Linked DNA regions of Oryzias latipes. The protein of the gene in region 1 interacts with the protein of each later gene in a biochemical or structural test. Links are inferred from orthologs where the notes say so. Each region holds a gene or a part of one and is shown on either strand. Other genes may lie near its edges.

Evidence for each region.
Region 2: of the proteins of prkn (region 1) and pink1, one has a biochemical effect on the other in vitro, tested with the Homo sapiens proteins (12 studies listed by BioGRID, with this or other methods). The link is inferred for Oryzias latipes from reciprocal best matches to the Homo sapiens genes PRKN and PINK1.

The regions. Positions count from the first base shown.
Region 1 is NC_019873.2:12,960,644-12,964,617, reverse strand, and holds the start of prkn (E3 ubiquitin-protein ligase parkin), read right to left. Parts: upstream 2,801-3,974; 5' UTR 2,305-2,800; coding exon 2,286-2,304; intron 1-2,285. UniProt on the Homo sapiens protein: Functions within a multiprotein E3 ubiquitin ligase complex, catalyzing the covalent attachment of ubiquitin moieties onto substrate proteins. Substrates include SYT11 and VDAC1.
Region 2 is NC_019865.2:23,696,226-23,698,988, forward strand, and holds the end of pink1 (serine/threonine-protein kinase PINK1, mitochondrial), read left to right. Parts: coding exon 1-32; intron 33-127; coding exon 128-255; intron 256-916; coding exon 917-1,147; intron 1,148-1,274; coding exon 1,275-1,559; 3' UTR 1,560-2,263; downstream 2,264-2,763. UniProt on the Homo sapiens protein: Serine/threonine-protein kinase which acts as a sensor of mitochondrial damage and protects against mitochondrial dysfunction during cellular stress.

The DNA.
Region 1 (3,974 bases):
CTGTTTTCTGAGTTAGTGAAAGAAAATTGGAAGTCATCCAAGACTTGAAATCTTTGAAACTACACTGAACAAAAATATAAACGCAACAGTTTTGTTTTTGCTCCCGTTTGTCTTAAGCTGATTTCAAAGATCTGAACATTTCCTACAAACACAAAAATAACAATTTCTTTCAAATATTGTCCATAAAATCCGTCTAAATCTGTGATAGTGAGCACTTCTCCTGAGATAATCCCTCCCACCTCATAGGTGTGCCATATCAAGATGCTTTTTCCTCAGCATGATCTTTGCACAAGTGTGCCTTAGACTGGCCTCAATAAAAGGCCAGTCTGAAATGTGCCGTTTTGCTTTATTGGGGGTCTGGGGACTCAGAAAGCCGGTCAGTATCTGGTGTGACCAACATTTACCTCATGCAGTGCATCTCCTTCACACAGAGCTGATAAGGTTTGCGATTAAGGGAATGTTGGCCCACTCCTCTTCAATGGCTGTGTAAAGTTGCTGGATGTTTGCAGGAACTGGAACACGCGGTCGTATCCGCTGATCCAGAGCATCCCAAACATACTCAATGTGTGACATGTCCGGTGACGATGCTGGCCACGCAAGAACTGGGATGTTTTTCCAGCTTCCAAGAATTGTGTTCAGATCCTTGCAACACAGGGCCGTGCAATATCATGCTGCAACATGGGGTGATGTTGTTGGATGTATGGGATACAACGGCCCACCGGGTCTCTGTGCATTCAAAATGCTGTCAATCAAATGCACCTCTGTTCTGTCTGACATGTCCAGTAAAGAGAATGAGTCAGGATTTATTCGTGAAGAGAGCACTTCTCCATGTGTCATGTGAGCATTTGCCCTCTCAAGTCGGTTATGACAACAAACTGGAGTCGGGCTTTAGCATCGATGAGGACAACAAGCATGCAGATGAGCTTACCTGAGATGGTTTCTGTGGAGATTTTTTGGGGTTTTGCGAACCAATTGTTTCAGCAGCTGTCTGAGTGGCTGGTCTCAGATTCTCTTGAAAGTATACATGCCACCTGACAATCTGATGAACTCTGTGCAGAGAAGATGGGTTGCACTGCATGCCGCAAATGTTGGTCAAACCAGATACTGACCGGCTTTCTGAGTCCCCAGACCCCCAACAAAGCAAAACGGCACATTTCAGACTGGCCTCTTTTTGAGGCCAGTCTTTTGTGCAATAATCATGCTGTCTAAACAGCATCTTGATATGGCACACCAGTGAGGTGAGATGGATCATCTCAGCAAAGCAGAAGTGCTAAATATCACAAATGTAGGCAGTTTTGTCAGCAATAATTGAAAGAAATTGTTATATTGTGTATGTAGAAAATGTTTCAGAAATTCAAGTTCATCTCATGACAAAAATGACCAATGGAAATGTTTTCTGTGCTTCATACTAGTGTTGGAAGCATTTTGACAATGCCATATTCTATTAGCTGCAACAAAACGTTCTAATCAAGTATGTCAAACAAACAGCACTGAGGCCTAAAAGAACATGCACAGACACAAGTACAGGCAGCCATGAGGTCATGGTTACCTTCAGCAGAGCTATGATATGGGAAATTCTGACTAAAACTCATCACAAATTATTCTGTTCAAACGCTCACAGAGTTGATCTGCAGCAGTTTTCTCTGGGAGTTTAGAAATGAATATTAGATTAGAGACAGACTTGTTAAACAAAAACTTGTGGATTAAGAAAGACGGCTTAAATAAAGGTTTAATGGCAAAATGGAAATCCAGAGCTGTGTTTTTACTGTCAGGATCATGTTATTTTAATGAGACAGTCAGAGCAGTATTATAAGACAACACGAATTTGTAAAAGTCTGTAAACAAACTGTATTCCTTTATTATTTTTACTGCTATTTTTGTGCATTACTTGTGGTGTTTGTGGTATTGTGCCAACTTGGAAATGTACATAAATTACAGAAGTGTCACGCTGAAGCGGATTTATTTGGGAAGAAGTAGACGGTCACATAAGGTTAAGCCAACAAACAAAACATGTCCGCTTGTTTTGTTAACAAAATTCTGGGAAATCAACCATGATAAATAACTAAGCAGCTTCAACACATTCATGTTGTGTATCTGTATGTTTACAGTTTAACGCCGGTGCAAGGTCCCGGCGTCAACCCAACCGACCCCATCTTAAACCCGCGCTTAATGTTGGCCCGGGACCGATCTAACTGACGGGAACGCGGACAGACCAGATAAGATCAGCGCGATTGGTCAGTCGAAGATATCCCGGTTTGGAACTGGGGACCCGGTTCGGAACTCACCGATCATCAGCCTTCTCATTCGCTAAGCATTCTGGGAGCTGTAGTACATTTTCTCCTATGTTTCCGGCGTCGGTCCGCTGTACAGTGTGACGTAAACAACACCGGAAGTGTATGTACTTAACAAAAAACACGATTAAAATTCAAACTCTGACGATGAATAAACTCAACAGCCATTCAGTGGTTGTTTTTGAAACATCTAGAAAATAGCAGCTGGTACTAAATATCCACTACAGTCGATCTTTGATCGGAAAGGTTGGATGACTTATCCATGTGTCCTCAGTGACAGCAGATCCTGGCGCGCGCTCCTCAGCCGGAACCTTCTACAGGATACAGATAAAGTCAGCTTGCACTCGATTATTTTGAAATATTGGCTTATTTAAAGGGTGTATGTATGCAGATTGTCTCCCATGTGCTCTATAGCTGTGGTTTGACTTTGGATTAACCTTTATGTTCTGCCTAAATTTAAAGCTGACTGGATCTACAATTGATGGTATCCCCAAAAATTCCCTGTGGCTCCGTGCTTCCATGTGTGCTCCTCCTGCTGGAGGCAGGAAGTAAAAACAGCCTGGATAGAAGTTTATTCCAAAGACGAGACAAACATGTCAACAGCTTTATTCTATTGGCAAACACGATACAATGAAAACCACCATCACCCCCCCACTGCAACAAACCAACACAACACTGGTCTAAACTGTAGACAGGAGAGGTGTCAGAAACAAAACTGGAACATGGTGGGAGGGACTGAGTGTTTTTGTCTCTTGGTGAAAGGGGGGGGTCATAGGCATTGAGACCAAAATAAATATGTCACCATTAAATTAACTCCAAGCCAACTCTTTTTCAATAACTGTTCCTGGGCGGGCACAGGAAAAGCTTTTATTTTGGTGAGAGCTGCTCCAAATGAACGTGGAGTCCAGAGGCTTGAACTGACCAAACATCTGTCCCAGTTCATCAGCATGCTCCATACACCGTGGCGGGAGCTGGAGAACACGAAGAACACCTTTATATGTGAGGAGGAGCCAATGCTGTCATGACAACTTTGTTTCTGGAACATCAGAACATTCCACCTTACCAACAGACGTCTTAGGACCCGACAAGATAGTTTTCTCTGAGGAGCGCCGGGACACATCCCTCGGACTCCAGCGTGGATTTCTGCTAGAAGCTTTTATTTTGAAGAATAGAACACCCATTTCTGCCTGCTGATGATTAAACTGTTGTTATAGTAACCAAGATTGACTGGCCAGCCAGATAACAAAGAACACCGTCAGCCAATCAAAACACAGCATCAGCAGCCTGGCTGGCCTAATCAGCCCAATCCACTGGAGCGAGGTAGGGAAAACTGCCAACAGGGACAGAAAGTTCTTCTGACCATCAATCAACTAAATGGATCAAAAGTTGGATAACTGCTCACGGGTCCGGTGTCGATGCAGTTTTGGACCTGCTCGTCGTTTAAAGGACCAGTTTTGTGGATGAAAACCACAGATGATCGATCCAATCGTGTTTCACAGCGGCAAACTGGTTTGATGATCCAGCTTCATTTCCCATGATGCCTTTGGGAAACGGCAGGTGCCGCCATACAGGTGAAAGGGAGGTAAAAGGGGAGGGCAATTGTGTATGTTTGAATCTAATTACATTACTCCATACGCAAAGCTAAGTGTCAGTTCTGACCATACAGGTGTGACCGTATGCGGC
Region 2 (2,763 bases), on another chromosome or scaffold:
ATCAGACAACGTGCTGCTGGAGTTTGACTCGGGTGAGCTCTAGAACCAGACTTTGATTGGAAAAACACCTTATTTAACATCAGCTGCTCCACGGATTTGTCTTATTTTTGTTTGTTTTTATGCACAGATGGTTGCCCCCGTTTAGTGATCACAGACTTCGGCTGCTGTCTGGCTGAAAGTGAGCAGAGTTTGCAGCTGCCCTTCAACAGCCAGTGGGTGGACAGAGGGGGGAATGCCTCTCTTATGGCCCCTGAGGTATAAATACTTTATTTTTGTTTTAAATAATCTTCATATGGTGGTTTTTATAAAGAAGACTAAAGGACTGGCTTACATATGAGCATGTCTTAATTGTCATGGATCCCAATGACTGAGTGATCATGACTTCTGTTTTTATTCAAATGCCAAGTGTTTACGACCACCTGATCATCAAAACAGAAGTGGTTTATTAAGAAAATGTCTCTGTCATAATCATAAAAACATGCATTATCCATGCGAAACACCATGACTTCCTGTTTGAAGCAGGTCCAAAAACAAAAGTATCTGCTGCCAGATCAGGTTATCAAGTGACCACTTCCTGGCTTGTTGTAATATGTCCATTTCCATTGATTTCAATGTAAGATGCCCCAACCAATGATTGACGTTAGTAAAACGTAATACATTTATTATAAAAATCATAAAATTGTGTATTTTAGCATCAAGTAAAAGAGATAAAGATGGCGTAAAAAAGAAAAAATTGAGTCCCCAACATATTTCCCTGTGGTACTCCATAAAACTAAAATACAAGAGATGTATTAATTGGCTGTGTCACAGTTCACTTAGCTGTTTGATCACTACTTTACTAATTTGGATAGACCGTTTGGTGTAGTGTCTGCAGGCTGCAGGGGCTCATCGTCTCTCTGTGCGTTTCTGGCATTAGGTGGCCTCTGCAGTCCCTGGGCGCAGAGTCGTGATCGACTACAGCAAGGCCGATGCGTGGGCTGTGGGCGCCATTTCCTACGAGATTTTTGGTGAACCAAATCCATTCTACCATGCTGTTGGACTGCATAGCATCAGCTACCAGGAGAAGCAGCTCCCTATCCTGCATTCCAGTGCCCCCGCTGATGTGCAGTTAGTGATTCGATTACTCCTCAGGAGGAGTCCTACAAAGGTAAAGCAAAGTTTTTTTCAAAATGGTTGAATTCATGTAATCATTATTGTTAATAATTACATAAATAGGAGCAGATATAGCGATAATCTAATAAATTCAATGTGTTTGTCTTATCTCTGCCGTGTAGCGCCCCAGTGCTCGTGTAGCAGCAAACATGCTGCACCTCACCCTTTGGGGTCAGAGGATTCTGGATAAACAGGGAAATGCTGGCATGAGAAAGCTGGCTGAGTGGTTACTGTGCCAGTCTGCTGTGGTTCTGCTGAAGGGCTGCAGTGGACCTGCTGGGAACAGGGTGGAGGCGGAGCTTCAGAGGAACTTCCTGAGGAACCTGGAGCTTGAGGAGCTGCGCACAGCGATGGGCTTCCTCATCTACGGACGAAACCAGCACACGGCCCGCATCCCGTCTGCTTAGATGTCTTTAATTTTGCAACCAGAGCTGAGCAGATATCTATGATAGTTTTTCTGCGGTTATATGTTCTCAGACACTTTATTAAAGTTGGGAGGTTGTATATGCTGCTTTTGAAGTTGAATAATCCTGACGTATTAAAGACGCTCCTGATGCTTCTCTGAAACTGCGTTTACACCGGGCATGTGATGCGCGTTCAAGACGCGTTTTTGAAGGCACATTTAGCAGGAAAAAAACTGTTTTCCCCCCACTGTTTACTGACATGTCCACCACCAACAGTTGGAAATGTCAAAGCGGTGCAAATCCATGCTTTATTCCGACATACAAAAGACCTGGTGTCGTATAATTTTGGCTATTTCAGCTCGACCTGGTTTAACTTTCAACACGGGTTTAATGGCCGTGCGTTTTGTATGTAGAGCTCAAAAATTGTCTTTAAAATGTACGTAGCGACACGTGAATGCAAAGGTTTTAAGCGCTAGCCTGAAATGCGCATTTACGCGTGTCTATGTAGACTTTTTATTGGAAGTGCTGCTTGAACGCGCATTGCAGAGGGCGGTGTGAACATGGCTTTAAAGTTTTCATGCACTCTGATACTGTTGCGCCGCTCGAGGTTGACTCGCCTGTGCCCTGGATCCCCTTCAATGTACTTTAAAAAACGTTGCACTATTTTTCTCTGCTGTGTAGTCATAAAGGTTCACATTTATTTATCAGCGTGTGTGTCAGGTTGCAGTCCCTGCATGTCTCCTGCATGTTTAATGATCGATGTGACTTTGTTCCTGTTTGCACTTTTTAACAGAAAAACTAACAAGATTGTCAGTTATTATGGAATCACTCAGTAAATTTCGAAAAATAACTGTTGATAATTTGAGATTAAAGCGGGTTTGTAACTCCCAGGAAGTTATTCTATAAAAAGAATGTATAATTTATCTTCTTTCTCTTTCGGCTTTTCCCATCAGGGGTCGCCACAGCGAATCATCCTTTTCCACCTCACTCTATCATGAACATCTTCTACCCTAACATTAGCCAACTTCATGTCCTCTGTTAAGACATCCATATATCTCCTCTTTGGCCGTCCTCTTGCCCTCCGGCCAGGCAGCTCCATCTCCAACATCCTTCTACCAATATATCCACTATCCCTCCTCTGAACATGTCCAAACCATCTCAGTCTGGCTTCTCTGACTTTGTCGCTAACACAGGCAACATGAGCCGT